Linked DNA regions of Arabidopsis thaliana. The protein of the gene in region 1 interacts with the protein of each later gene in a biochemical or structural test. Each region holds a gene or a part of one and is shown in the gene's direction. Other genes may lie near its edges.

Region 1 (7,484 bases):
AAGTTTGGTGTGAGTGAGAGTGTTCTTTATCCAGAAGGCAATGCGTGACCCATGCATGATGACACGCCGACAGATACATTTTTGGTTCTCTGCATCACATATATCCACCTCACAAGTTTCATGTTTTCCTTTATATACACATCAAAATGTGTCTTACGTGCACTGTTTTGAACCTGGATCCAATCCATACATAACATGATGAATACCACGACGACACTTTAGTAATCCACACACATGTTTTATAATGCAGAAAGTAAAATTCAAATTCGAGATATCATGATTACATCAGCCTCCCATGAGAATTTGTAGCAGATACATCCAATTGCTTAATTAATATATGTATACATATTTCTTGACGCGTTATATAAAATCCGTATTATTGTCTTTATTTGGATAACGTGTTACCAAAAACTCCTTTAATTTATGACTTTTCAAATATACTACATTTAGATTATCAATAACTATAATAAAATTTAGAAGAACTTACACAAAAAATTACTACAGAAAATATTTAAAAATAATAAATATCCCCGTTTGTTCAAGATGAAATTTTGTGATTTTCCAGAGAATTCAGTAATCTGAATTTTAGGTCCATCATCTTCAGATTATTCTAAGTCATTTCTAGTGGGACACTAATTAAAACATCATTTTAGTAAAGTTTTGCACTAAAAAACTTTTCCAAAGAACACTAAAAAGTGACATGAGTGTGATGCAATATCACACCAAATTTGGTGTAACACTAGCTGTTTCCGGTTAACTGTTTGCGTCAAATAAAGAGTAAACCGTCCGGTTTGAACTTTGAAGAGCGCCGCGTGAAGAAGTCAAATGTCGTTGCTCTTTGTTTTAGTCAAATGTAGTTCGTCTCCCACATCTTACTGTCATAAATATAATATTAATCTATCACTAGTATAGTTGTACCAAAAATGTTGGCTCCTTGCATTTAGCTTTGTTTATTTGACTGTGGAAACTTGAAATAGTCTTCTTTTATAATAGTCATGCACCGTCTCAGACCTCTTATTAGTCCTAAATTACCTCCACCTTTTCAATATGAATAACTGTTCAAAAGCTTTGAGTGGTAATACATACATTTCCGCATTTAGATTCTTATTCCTCTCTTTAATCATGGTTGATGGTTGCATACCCAACCAAAAAAACAGGTAAATATCAGACGAATATTTTTCTTTTAGGCTGTTTTAGAATTTATTTTACCATCGAGCAAGGTCGAACCATTAAATTGTTTCTTTAGACAAAGCAAGTCTAAAACTAGCCAACGTTTTATTTTACATATATCACCTAATTTAAGTGATGGCTCAATTTTCTAATGTAAAAGTAAGAAGAAGAAAAACGTTTTCGAAATGAATTGATCTTGTAGATAGATATTTCCGAAGATGCTTTCCAAATCAATATTGGTTAGTTGTTATAGACTTTCTTTCTTTTTTTGTCAACTGGTTAGTTGTTATAAGTTATAACTATCTATCTATCTTAAAGTAAACCGAAACGTGTACCATACGAGTACCATCCATGACAACGACCAGAAACCACAGAAACTCTAGAATATTTTGTAAGGCGGCATCAGTACTAGTAAACTAAGTAATGAAGGAAAAGTCTTATAGCCGACCTCTTCTTCATTTTACCAACACCACTTGCACACACACACACGTGTACTAGGTCAAACCAAACGTGCCCTAATTATTTTCCTCTCTTTACCCCCAAAAAAACATCTAGATACTTTCATCACAACTTTGGTCCGCATATTAAAAAGAGTTTTAGAAAAATATAGTAATTATCTAATCGCCACCTTCACTCTTCACACTTTCCTACCACTTGTCACGCAACTTCCTTCTCCACACTCCACCTACTACTATATATTTACACACACTTTCATTACTTCTTCTTCAGCAATTAAACAATTTCTTCACTGCAATTCACAAGCAACCTTCAAACTAAAACTCGAGAGACAAGAAATCCTCAGAATCTTTAACTTAATGGCGCTCGAGGCTCTTACATCACCAAGATTAGCTTCTCCGATTCCTCCTTTGTTCGAAGATTCTTCAGTCTTCCATGGAGTCGAGCACTGGACAAAGGGTAAGCGATCTAAGAGATCAAGATCCGATTTCCACCACCAAAACCTCACTGAGGAAGAGTATCTAGCTTTTTGCCTCATGCTTCTCGCTCGCGACAACCGTCAGCCTCCTCCTCCTCCGGCGGTGGAGAAGTTGAGCTACAAGTGTAGCGTCTGCGACAAGACGTTCTCTTCTTACCAAGCTCTCGGTGGTCACAAGGCAAGCCACCGTAAGAACTTATCACAGACTCTCTCCGGCGGAGGAGATGATCATTCAACCTCGTCGGCGACAACCACATCCGCCGTGACTACTGGAAGTGGGAAATCACACGTTTGCACCATCTGTAACAAGTCTTTTCCTTCCGGTCAAGCTCTCGGCGGACACAAGCGGTGCCACTACGAAGGAAACAACAACATCAACACTAGTAGCGTGTCCAACTCCGAAGGTGCGGGGTCCACTAGCCACGTTAGCAGTAGCCACCGTGGGTTTGACCTCAACATCCCTCCGATCCCTGAATTCTCGATGGTCAACGGAGACGACGAAGTCATGAGCCCTATGCCGGCGAAGAAGCCTCGGTTTGACTTTCCGGTCAAACTTCAACTTTAAGGAAATTTACTTAGACGATAAGATTTCGTTTGTATACTGTTGAGAGTTGTGTAGGAATTTGTTGACTGTACATACCAAATTGGACTTTGACTGATTCCAATTCTTCTTGTTCTTTCATTTTAAAAATTATTAAACCGATTCTTTACCACATATTTTACAAACGCGTTGAGTCTTTTTTTTATCTGAATAAGCATAAAGTGACACCACTACAACTCTGTTTTTGGTTCTGTTTTTTTCAAAAAATTTATAACACAATTAAGCATAATCAAGAACGTTCTAGTTTCTACTACCATCCACATATTGTTCTTTCTTATATTTTGGAAAGCTCTAAGCAAATAAAAAGAGTTGTGATATCTTACGGAAGACTGCCAAAGAAAACTCAACTTTCATTTTTCTTTTACCAAAAGAATACCGTAACTTTCAATTGAAAAAAGCCTTTCTTGACGGGTCGTTTGTTTTCTTTAGTAGCACTGTTTAATTAACGTAGATAATCCCTTCTTTAATTTGGTGAATTATCTACGGGAAGTCCAAAACTCAATGGTCATAAACGTGTATCAAAATTCATCTAAAAGTTAATTAATTTTTTTTTGCAAAAGTCTGATGCTAATATGAATAACTGTTTAAGAACTCCAACATTATATTCAAGAAAAATAAATTTTGATATACAAGAACAAGCCCAGTTACCGAAAAGAAGAACAGAACGGCGCGCAGTGTTTTATCCAAAAGAAACAACTACCGAAAAGAAGATCAACAGAACGGCGCGCAGTGTTTTATCAAAAAGAAAAAACGACACGGTGTTCTCGCAGAATCTCCCTTTATATAAAAACTTGCGGAATTTGGAATCTTATTGGATACAACAAATCGTTTCCTTGAAAATTCCCTCTTCGTTTTGAGCTATTGACGTTTGGTACCGCGAGATTCCTCCATGGATCTCTCCATTGTCAAGCTCCTCGAAGAAGACGAAGAGGTTAGGTTTCGAATTTCCCACTCTCATTTTCATTTCCGTACTGTCTGCGAAAATCCACGCGCTATCTTGTTCTGTGGACGAAGCTCCTAAATGTCGATTCCCGCTAATCGTGTCGTTAGGTTGACTCTAAGCATTCGGAAGATGACTTGCAAATGTTTCAGGACTCTCTGATTCGAGATATTGAAGGTTCGTTTTGGACCCTAAAATTCATATGCGAAACTGTGGAATGTATCAAAACAGGGAAATGCCTTTAGATTTCTTTAGTGATTTAGGTTCACGAGTCGTATTTTTGTGGTTTGTCATGTATCTTCATGTTTCACTTGATGTTAACTGTTGAATGTTGATGGATGCAATTAGATTGTTAGTTCTTGATGATGCTTTAGTGACGGTTAGTCATAGAAAAATATTAGAGCATACTCATAATTGATTTTGGTGCTTGAACTCATGTGCCCCAAGGAAGTAACTTGAAGTCTATAAACAATACTACTGGTAATGAATCAGAAAAACCGCAACCTCGGTATATGAAACTGCAGAAGATGAGTAGCAAAGAGACTCCTTGGGTGGAAAAGACTGTTGACCCTGTGAATCATAATCTTAGATTAGCACGAGTTACTGATTTGCTTCGTACCGTGGTAGACCACCAACCCGGCAAAAAGACGCATTGTCTTAACCTGCATTATAAACTCAAGGTGTGGCTTTACAGTTTACATCCATGAATGAATTGGCACTCTGATCGAAGTTTCTTAATACATTACGTTTCTTTTCATACTTGATTGCAGAGAAAAGAACTTACAATGGAAGAGTTCATGCGACAACTGAGAGATCTTGTAGGTGATCAGATAATCAGATCGGTAATTAGCCAACTGCCTCAGTTAAAACCGGTATTACCCTTTCCATTTTCTTAGCATTTATAAGTACTTTAATGATTTTCATTTAGCAGCCTCCAAGAGAGTTTCTTGTTTTATATGCTTCCTTCTCTGTATATGAACATGTGCTGAGAAAGAAATCTCACTTCTGAACCTTATTAAAAAGGAAATAACATAAAGAATTCTCACTTTAATAGTATAAGCTGAATACTTCTTGTCTTGGAATTGTGGCTTACTGGTTTCAGAATGAACTGTATGTGTAACCAGGGAAATATGGGGATCAAAGTACCTGGACGCTCAAACCATGACAAAGTGTCTAAATCTGCTGGTATAACTTATTTAGTTGATGCCATTTACTTTTGCAATTATCATAGATCATCTTAACTTTCTGGTAGATCTTATCTTATGATTTCCTTGTAGCATACAAAACTAATCCCAGATACAATCATTAACTGCAGAATTCACTGCTCAAGAATCTGATCCTCGTGAAGTTCATGTTAACCAACTGTCTTCTACAACTTCAGGCACCTTAAACAGTTCAACTACTGTGCAGGGATTAAATAAGCATCCCGAGCAACACATGCAGCTTCCATCAAGTTCTTTTCATATGGATACCAAATCTGGAAGTCTTAATCCATACCCAGGGACAAATGTCACTTCTCCTGGTTCATCATCGAGAGCAAAGCTCCCTGATTTCCAGCATAGGGAAAACAATCAGAATGTGGGAATAGCCAGTGTTGGAGGACCAACCAAGTCTACAATAAACATGACGACAGTACCCAAGTTTGAGAGGCCAACTTTTGTAAATGGTCCAAGTAGGGTTCAGGATGGTCCTATATCCGACTTCCCAAAGAACTCATCCTTTCCTCTATATTCTGCTCCTTGGCAAGGATCAGTCACCAAGGACCATACAGTGGGACCTTCTTCATCAGTGATCCATGTGGAGCATAAATTGATTGATCAAAGTTTTGAACAGGCACATAAACCTCGTTATTTGGTGCAGCAAGGCGTGACTAATGTTCCACTGAAACAGAAGAATGCTATTCCAATTAGTTCAAATGATGACTTGGAGAAGCAGTCTTCTAAAATGGGTTTATTCACATCAACCACTTCTGCCAGCTCTGTTTTTCCTTCAATGACAACACAGCTGGACTCTAGCACGATGGTAACTTATAAATTATACTTTCAAAAGACAGATTTCAATTTGGTTGATCTTCTCTTTAAGCTCATAGGGGGACCATTTCTCTTCAACCGATGTTGCATTTGGTTTCGTTTTGCTTATATTTTGGACCACCCTGGCTTCTATTTCTCCTTGTACTGGCTTCGAACTTTGGTTGTGAAGAGTAAATGGACTATCTATCTTACGTGAAAATTATTTGTGTACACTTCAGGTTAATATGCCTGCCCCATCTGAGACCATTCCCAAGATTGCTAATGTTACGGTGACACCCAAAATGCCTTCTGTTGGTCAGAAGAAACCTCTTGAGGCACTAGGTTCTTCGCTGCCACCATCAAGGTAATGAGCTGGCTGGTTTGTGAAAGATGAACTACTTACAGCGTCCATAAATTACTCTTCCTTTTTTCTTTGCTTTTCTGATAATATCCTTTTTACCTTACTAACAATTTAGAATTGCTAAATTGAAGTCTTATGTATTTTTTAATATACAGAAAGAAGCAAAAAATATGTGGGACTTCTTCAGATGAAAGTATTGAAAAGTTTAATGATGTCACTGCAGTCAGTGGCATCAATCTCAGGGTATGTTTACGAGTTGCTACACTTCTCATTTTGAACCTGGATATAGAGAAACAATAAACCAAATTACTTTCTGCATCTGTTCTAGGAAGAGGAAAAACAATTATTAGATTCTGGTCCTAAAAAGAACGATCGTGTTTCTAAAGCATATCGAAGACTTGTGCATGGAGAGGAAGAAAGAACGCTTTTGCAGAAAATTCCACTGCAGAGAAAGCTGACAGAAATTAGTTTGTGTTTCAACTCGTATCTTAGCTGCTTCTTTGGTCCTTACTTGGAATCACTTGGAGAAGAAGTTTATGTATGCTTTCATATATGACAGTGGGAAAAAGTGGTTTAAAGCATATAGACCATGATGTAGAGCGGTGCTTGTCTCTGGTGAGATGTTAACACCTTTTCTTGGAATTATTAGCCTTCAATTTCCTGTTTTTGTTTTCGTTTTTCTCATGGCTTTGCGCATTCAGTGTGTGGAGGAGAGGATGCGAGGACTACTGTTTAATATAATACGAATATCAAAGCAGGTCAGTCTACTTTCTCTTCTCATGCCTCCTTAGATCTTGTTGTACCTAAATCTTTCTGAAGTTACAAGAGCTTTTGCAGCGGACTGATGCAGAGAAGTGTAGAAATCGGACTTTTATCACATCTGATATCCGGAAAGAAATTAATGAAATGAATCAGAAGGTGAAAGAGGAATGGGAAAAGAAACATTCTGGAGAAGAAAAGGTAATGGTTTGTCCTGAGCTTAATATCTATTTGTCTTAGTTATCAGTAGTAATGTCTAGTTTTTTTTTTTTGTATATTCATTGATGTAGAACAAAGAAAATGATACTGAAAAAGAAGACCAACGTTCAAACGAAGTGAAGGTATTTAGAACTTGAGCCAACTACCTAAACCTTTGGAGATATACACATACGTACACTGAAAGAGGTTTATTGATCACAAGTCAGGCAAATAAGAAGGACGAAGATAAAGAGAGAGCCAAGGCTGCAAATGTTGCTGTTCGTGCAGCCGTTGGAGGAGATGATAGGTTTTCAAAATGGAAACTTATGGCTGAAGCACGTCAGAGATCTTCTCCAGGGCCAGGAAGAAACTCCAAGAAACTTTCTGGTAAGATTGGTAATCCCGTTTCTATGATCTGAAAGAGTAAATCTCTCAGTTCTGTTGCTGGTTATTCTTGTGTTTCGTGCTCCTAATTGCATATTCGAACTTTATGTAGGTGGTACACAATTTGG
Region 2 (8,494 bases), on another chromosome or scaffold:
ATTCGTGTATAGTGGCACAGAATAAAAAGATCGACAGTTTTACTAATAACAGTTCAAATTGAACATCTTCCCGATCAAAGAAACTAATATTATACACTAATCCAATAAAATTGAGTTAGCAAATCTTAAACTAATCCAAAGTATCAAACTTTCAGATCGAAATCGAGAATCTAACAAGCCAAAGTCCATAATGAATCCGTGCATGGGACGCGACGGTTCAATAAGAGACGCGTCAACGAAACAGTACAATCGAAAAAAAAACATATCGACGACAATCCAAAATCTCCATGAGATTTCTACATACAATCGGAATCAGTAAACACGTTGATCTCAATAACTACTCCGGAACTAAAATCGAAACACCAGAATTAGGGTTTTGAGATTCGGCGATTCAAATCCCAACATGAAAGAGTCAATTACGAGAGAAGTGAAAACATACGGCTGAGTAGAGAGATTCGATCGGAGATTGTGGAAGATGAAGAAGATTGAGAGAAGTGGGAGATTGCAAGAGACAACAAGTGAGAGAGATTGGATGGCTGAGATTTTGGCCGCTTCTAGATCCACGATTGCCTAATAAGAAGAATTAACTATGCCCTTAGATTATTAGTTTATTACGGATCTGCCACTATCTCCGGTTCGATTATTTTTGGTTGGCGTCGGTTAAAGACTGATTTAATTTGGTGGTGGTTTTATTTCAACCCAATGATTATATTTTAATTTTTGTTCTTCTACATATCCGATATTTTCAGAAATCATGTGGAAATAAATCTAAAAATTTAGAAATTTAGTTACAAGTTTTATAAAACTAATCGTCTAATACAATGAAATTTCATCAAAATAATTATTTTTCTATAAATTATGATGATCTAAGTACCGGATTAAGAACAAATTACAAATAAGAATACTGTACACAACAAAACTCAAACATGTGACTTCAGAAAATATTTTACTCGTAAATTAAAACATAAACATACACGAATACTATCCTTCATATATATCTTTGTATCTAAGAGTAACTCAATGTTCAAAATAAAATACAGCTAAAAAAAGTAATAAGCAAAAGAATATGGGATAAACTATTTTAAGCTGAAAAAGTAACAAAGTGATAGAACACACTCATGCATCATTAGTTTATGTAACAAAGAAGAACTCATTTTAAGTTGTTGCAATGGAGACTTGCTTCAAAACCTTTGAACAGTCCACAAGTTTCAAGCTTTTAAACGTTCTACAGATGAACAATGGAATAAACGACTAGGCCATTCTTTTCAAAAGAGTGTTCATAAGGGAAATATCATCCACATGCATTTGGAAGCTCTTTATAAGCTTTCGATTTTGCCCGTACCTAATGATTTTCGTTTGTCCATCTAGGAAGTACTCGATTTAAAGTTTAGAACTAATTTAAACAATCATTGTTTTGATAAGGTTAAGTATTTGAAATCACTTTTAGATGACTTTGGAATAGTTTTAGAAGGTTATAATCCAGTGAAGTTTAACGATGCATCGTTATTCCTTAACATAAATAGAACTCTAACTTAAATAAATTTCATAACAAAATCAATATTTTTAACGATAATGTTGGAACATAAATTATATAGCGCATACGATTATTTAGAGGAATTTGTAAACTAAATATTAATATCTTGTTCGAACTCGAAAATAGCTTACTTTTTTTTCTTCATAAGTGTTGGCTTTGATATATAACAACAAAGTGTTACAATAGTGGAAAACTCCACTTACAGAATTCGATAGGCTAATGAGCATTACGATATTAAATTATCAAACACATATAGATAATCTCCTTTAATTTTCATCTACTCAGAATTGAACATTTTCATAATCTGCAAGTTCTGCTTTATCTTGTCTGCTTTCATTGGAAATGAAATGGTATATGTTGGTCGGTAAAAGACGAATCAAATTTGTAAACTAACAATGAACTATTGAAAGAGTAAATCTTACAGAAATCTCAAAAGAAAATAAGATACTAAAAAGGGAGAAACTGAATCTCTCACTTAATCCCCATTCGGGGAACCTTTACACTTAACACGCGATCTGATGGAGCCATGAGTGCAATCCAATCAATCCAAAACTTCTGCAAGGCCCTCTTACACAGATATCCTAACGAAAAGTAACCACAAAGATCCGCTTCTCAACTCCAAAACCAATTTGCGCAAATAGAGATTTTGCCTATTTTGCTATCTCTTTCTTCTTAAAACAAAGCCTTCTTAAAACAAAAGTCCAACAACAAAAGTCAAACCGAGCCCAATATAGTAACCCATCGAGGAAGGGATAAGAAAGCCATACAACACAGAGACATGTGTCGCCTCATGAGGAAATCACAGACACGTGACGAGAAGAACGTGTTTGTCGAGAATGCCAACCACTGCCGGCATGTTTTCTGAGATCGAAGAACGCCTACCCACCGAAAGTTCGTTCACTCCGCAAAACCAGAAGCTTCAAGTAGAGCACTGAAGACCCTCTAAAGAAATTGCACATCTAGTCTTCCTCTTCCAAACGAAATTAAACTCAGATTTAACAAACGAACGAAACTTTCTTTCATATGAAGGAAAGCGTCCACCATTCCAAAGTAGCATGAAGCATCACAATGACGTAAGCAACCAAAAAGATTTTCCGGTGAGACTTAACGTCGCCATGCCCATCAAGTGAAACTACTACAAAATTTGAACGACAAGGCTTATGAAGCCGAAACTCTTAAACTTCCACTTTTTCTTCGTAATGAAGAAACTTAATAAGTTTATTAGAAATAAAGACAAATAAAGGCAAAATACCAAAGAACGGCGACGATAAAACCGGATTTACCGGTAACTATAACTAGAACTCACCGTACGGTATTGAAACAAAAAGTTGGACCATGTCCGAACACAACCTCACAAACATACGGGAAGGCATACGAAACAAAGAATTTTTTCTTTTTCTCAAAATTTTAGAGAAAGAAGAGAATAAAAAAATTCTGATCGAAAATAGCTTACTTAAAAATCATAATTGAATAGTATCTTTTGTTTTTAAACTAATTTAGTCTATATAATAATAATATTATTAACCATCGTAAACCACACATGATATTCAATACTTATAATAAATTAATCGCATAAAATACAATACTTAAAACGAGTGTTATATAATTTTACGTAACGTAAAACAATACAAAATTTTAATTCCTGAACGAATAAAACGAGTATATTAATTAATTTATTGATCGTATTAAAACGAATATGATCCAATTAAGATTACAATTACTAAAATCCCCACACTATTATTGTCATTATTTAACTATGGCAGATAGATAGATACAGAACCGTAAAGGACGTTAGGAAGAGGAAGAACGTTGACGAAGTCAACAACGAACAGAAACCGTCGATTTGAGGCGGCTCTAATCTCAACCACACGATCTTCTCTGCCTTTCCCTCTTCTCTCTTCTTCTTCTTCTTCATCTTCTTCCTCGCAATTACCGCGAAAACTCATCTCTGCTCAATCCTCAATCTCAGTCTCTCTGTTGACTCCGACTGTTATATAAAACCATACAAATACCTTCAGATTCACTACTTCAAACCTCAAAGCAACCACTGAATCTCGACTTTGATCAATTGAGAGAGAAATGAACACCGGCGGTGGCCAATACACGGATTTTCCGGCGGTGGAAACTCACGGAGGACAGTTCATAAGTTACGATATCTTCGGTAGTTTATTCGAGATCACATCTAAGTATCGTCCTCCGATTATACCAATTGGTCGTGGAGCTTATGGAATCGTTTGGTATGTTTCCTTCTCTGAGCTTTTTCTTAAGTTTTATTCTTTGAGATCGGAGTTTTTAATTTCTGGATTTTGATTTTGTGAAGCTCTGTGTTGGATACGGAGACGAACGAGCTAGTAGCGATGAAGAAGATAGCTAATGCTTTTGATAATCATATGGATGCTAAGCGTACGCTTCGTGAGATCAAGCTTCTTCGTCATCTTGATCATGAAAACGTTAGTGTTTTTGTTCGATTTTGTGAAATATCTGTAGAAATTAGTAAATAAATCATGATTAGGGTTTTTTGATTTGGTATTGCAACAGATTATAGCTATAAGAGATGTTGTTCCACCACCACTAAGAAGACAGTTCAGTGATGTTTATATCTCTACTGAATTAATGGATACTGATCTTCATCAAATCATCAGATCTAACCAGAGTTTATCAGAAGAACACTGTCAGGTAAACTAAAAACTGTTCTTGGCTTTTTTCTGGGATTTATATTTGATAGAAGAGACATGAAACTGATACTTGATTTGGTGTTTTTGTTGTCATGGAAACAGTACTTCTTGTACCAGCTACTTCGAGGACTGAAGTATATCCACTCAGCTAACATTATTCATAGGGATTTAAAGCCGAGCAATCTTCTGTTGAACGCGAATTGCGATTTAAAGATTTGTGATTTCGGTCTTGCTAGACCTACTTCAGAGAATGATTTTATGACTGAGTATGTTGTTACGAGATGGTATAGAGCACCTGAGCTTCTGTTGAACTCTTCAGATTACACAGCTGCTATTGATGTTTGGTCTGTTGGTTGTATCTTTATGGAGCTTATGAATAGAAAGCCTTTGTTCCCTGGTAAAGACCATGTTCATCAAATGCGCTTATTGACAGAGGTAAAATATTTTAGAGAGTTATGTAATTTTAGCATGGTTTAAAGATTCTGCCTTTTCACGGAATATGTGATGAATTTGTTTGAATCTTGCAGTTGCTTGGCACACCGACAGAATCTGATCTCGGTTTTACTCACAATGAGGATGCGAAAAGATACATCCGGCAACTTCCCAACTTCCCACGTCAGCCCTTAGCTAAACTTTTCTCTCATGTTAACCCAATGGCCATTGATCTTGTTGACAGAATGTTGACGTTTGACCCCAACAGAAGAATCACTGGTAAGTTTCATACATGTTCTCTGTTGGTTTTTCTTACCATCACTATGTTTTGATTAAAAACTGAAAATACCATCTTGTGCAGTTGAACAAGCTCTGAATCACCAGTACCTTGCTAAATTGCACGACCCGAATGATGAGCCAATCTGTCAAAAGCCATTCTCTTTTGAGTTCGAACAACAGCCTCTGGATGAGGAACAGATAAAAGAGATGATCTACCAAGAAGCCATAGCACTCAATCCAACATACGGTTAGAAGTGCAGCAGCCCCGTGAATGCCTGGTATTACCCAATAACCATCCGAATGGCTACTTAGTATCTTTGCCTGTTCTTTTATTCATGTACTTCTTCCACATATGTAATCTTGTAACTTTTATTTGTTTGTTCATGTTATTTACTGCTAGTGATTAAGTGTAGCTCCAATGTAAAGTACTCCAGTTATTAAAGAATATCTATAGACTTTTTTACTTCACATACTCTTGAGTCTTCCCTAGTAAACAAAGAGAAGAGAGAATATAATTTTGTAATGTACAGAGCCTCAATATTTGTGGGAGACATTATAGAGCTAGAGCCAGAGTCAATGCTGTCGCCGTGAGTTGTCTATTCTCATTCAATGACTTTCAATAGATTTTAGTGGGATTGGCTTTAGGTAGCTTGCATTATTGAAGTAGAAATGGTCAATTCCTTAGCAATAATTAGGCACAAATGTGTCTTTCTTTAGTAATATTGTAATATCCTTTGTCTGACAATTTAGAGTTGACTTCTAAAACGTTGGGTTGGAAATAATGTTGTCTTCACACAGGCTGTTACGAAGCAGACAGTGATGGCTCAACTTGCATCAACGGAAACCTTTGAGTTTTTGTTTTACTTTCTTAATGTTTCTTTATTTGAAGCTGCTGCGCATGGAGAATAAAATATCGTGGACCCGAGAAAGTCATCATTGCTGTATTATTACTTATACTGTATATATGTTTCAGAATTTCAGGCCATTGTTGACAAAAATAGTGAAAGATTTCTGCTTGATTTTGAGACATGGCTAGTTCAGTTACTGGCGATGCAGAAACAGCGATATCAGCAGATTCAAGCACCAAACGCCGTGGTGGAGGTTGGATTACCTTTCCGTTTATGATAGGTGAGAGATTCTGTTTCTCTGTTTTTATATTTCTCATAACTTCATAACCATTAGAGCTTGGAAGAAGAAGTTGAATTTATCTTATCTTTCTATGGTGCAGCTACGTTGTTAGGCTTGACAATAGCTGCGTGGGGTTGGTTACTTAACTTGATCGTCTACCTGATCGAGGAATTCAACGTGAAGAGCATTGCAGCGGCTCAGATTGCTAATATTGTTAGTGGTTGTATCTGTATGGTTCCAGCTGTTGCAGCCATTGCATCTGACTCTTTCTTTGGAACCATTCCTGTTATCTCAGTTTCAGCTTTCATTTCTCTTATGGTAAAGTTAATAAAGAGTCCTTGACATTTGTTTTTATCAGTTTCTCTCTGAAACAGAAATTCACTAATTCTACTCTTGACCAGGGTGTAGCTCTACTGACTCTAACTGCTTCACTTGACACTTTAAGACCTAGACCCTGCGAAACAGCTTCAATACTATGCCAGTCTCCTTCGAAAACCCAGCTCGGAGTCCTTTACACGGCCATAACTCTAGCCTCTATAGGAACAGGTGGGACACGGTTCACATTAGCAACTGCTGGTGCGAACCAGTATGAAAAAACTAAAGACCAAGGAAGCTTTTTCAACTGGTTTTTCTTCACAACATATCTAGCCGGAGCTATAAGTGCAACCGCCATTGTCTACACCGAAGACAATATCAGCTGGACCCTTGGGTTTGGTCTGTCTGTAGCCGCTAATTTCTTCAGTTTTTTGGTTTTCGTCTCGGGGAAAAGATTCTACAAGCATGACAAGCCTTTGGGAAGTCCCTTCACAAGTCTACTATGCGTCATTTTCGCAGCATTACGCAAAAGAAAAGCTGTGGTTTCCACCAACGAAAAAGACTACCACAATGAATCAATCACAATGCCCACAAAGAGTTTCAGGTAGAAAAACCGGCTCGAAAACCGCAGTTTCATTCTTGCACTGAGAGGCCGTTCTAATGAGTTTTCAAATACGCAGGTTCTTTAACCGTGCAGCATTGAAACAGGAAGACGAGGTAAAACCAGATGGCACAATTCGCAATCCATGGAGACTATGCAGCGTTCAACAAGTGGAAGATTTCAAAGCAGTCATAAGAATCATCCCTCTCGCCTTAGCCACAATATTCTTGAGCACTCCAATCGCAATGCAACTAAGCTTAACAGTTCTTCAAGGTCTGGTGATGGACCGGAGGCTTGGTCCTAGCTTCAAAATCCCTGCAGGCTCTCTCCAAGTCATAACACTTCTCTCCACTTGCCTATTTATCATAGTCAACGATAGGGTTCTCTATCCATTTTACCAAAAGTTAACGGGAAAGCACCTCACACCGCTCCAACGAGTTGGGATAGGCCATGCGTTCAACATTCTAAGCATGGCTGTGACTGCCATAGTTGAAGCAAAGCGATTAAAGATAGTACAGAAGGGTCATTTTCTCGGATCATCATCTGTTGCTGACATGTCAGTCTTATGGCTCTTCCCTCCTCTAGTCATAGTAGGAATCGGTAAGGATTTGATTCCGGATAATAATTCATTCTACGAGTTCAGATCAATCCGACCATGTTCTTGTTTTTTGGTTGCAGGAGAGGCCTTCCATTTCCCAGGGAATGTAGCTCTGTGCTATCAAGAGTTTCCAGAGTCTATGAGAAGCACCGCAACATCGATAACCTCGGTGGTGATTGGGATATGTTTCTACACAAGCACTGCTTTGATAGATCTGATTCAAAGGACCACGGCGTGGTTACCAGATGACATAAACCATGGAAGAGTTGACAATGTTTACTGGATTTTAGTCATAGGAGGAGTCTTGAATCTTGGCTATTTTCTTGTGTGTTCTTGGCTATACAGATACAGAAACCTCAAGGATGATGATCATAAGCAAGCTGCAAATGTCTCTCACTGATCTTTAAGCTGGAGAAAGAAAGAACATGTCCTTTGTTGTTATCATTTGCATTTCTTTACAGAGAGCTTTGTCTGAAAGTATCTCCAATTTGTAGCCATTGAAAAACAGTTTTTCATATGTAGAATTGATTTGGAAATTTGTGGTAATATAATCGTTTTGTTTCTGTGATTCCTGAGTACAAACCAGTAACACAATTGATGTTGAGCTTGTGATGCTTCTGTAGTGCCTAAGATAACAATCTTGTGATTCTCGGGCTGCTTTTTGATGTTTTCTGTCTTTGACAGAGACACTCATGACATTAGTGAATATTTTTGCAGGAGTTATGATTAAGGAAGATGGTGAATCTGAATATGCGGAAGACAACCATTTTAAAAAGGAACAGGTGACAAAGAATGTGATGGAGAATCTAGAAAAGTTGATTACTACTTATAGGATGACAAAGCATTATTCTTCTTAAGATGAATGGGGATATGGTGAATCTTGGATGAACAATAATGCATCGGTAGCATCAAAGCTTGTCCCGGTGAGTAGT

What was found.
Region 2: the proteins of STZ (region 1) and MPK3 form a complex in vitro, tested with the Arabidopsis thaliana proteins (one study listed by BioGRID).

The regions. Positions count from the first base shown.
Region 1 is NC_003070.9:9,643,487-9,650,970, reverse strand, and holds STZ (salt tolerance zinc finger), read left to right. Parts: upstream 1-1,647; 5' UTR 1,648-1,985; coding exon 1,986-2,669; 3' UTR 2,670-2,950; downstream 2,951-7,484. Other genes in the region: TAF4B (TBP-associated factor 4B), read left to right, coding at 3,595-3,636, 3,756-3,822, 4,093-4,325, 4,416-4,517, 4,770-4,830, 4,961-5,667, 5,894-6,018, 6,171-6,258 and 7 more. UniProt on the Arabidopsis thaliana protein: Transcriptional repressor involved in abiotic stress responses. Can repress the stress responsive genes DREB1A and LTI78. Probably involved in jasmonate (JA) early signaling response.
Region 2 is NC_003074.8:16,753,305-16,761,798, forward strand, and holds MPK3 (mitogen-activated protein kinase 3), read left to right. Parts: upstream 1-3,266; 5' UTR 3,267-3,288; coding exon of another isoform or gene 3,289-3,480; 5' UTR 3,481-3,613; coding exon 3,614-3,771; intron 3,772-3,854; coding exon 3,855-3,984; intron 3,985-4,072; coding exon 4,073-4,210; intron 4,211-4,311; coding exon 4,312-4,644; intron 4,645-4,736; coding exon 4,737-4,920; intron 4,921-5,002; coding exon 5,003-5,172; 3' UTR 5,173-5,570; downstream 5,571-8,494. Other genes in the region: AT3G45645 (uncharacterized protein), read right to left, coding at 3,289-3,480; NAXT1 (nitrate excretion transporter1), read left to right, coding at 5,949-6,048, 6,149-6,366, 6,450-6,967, 7,044-7,962. UniProt on the Arabidopsis thaliana protein: Involved in oxidative stress-mediated signaling cascade (such as ozone). Involved in the innate immune MAP kinase signaling cascade (MEKK1, MKK4/MKK5 and MPK3/MPK6) downstream of bacterial flagellin receptor FLS2.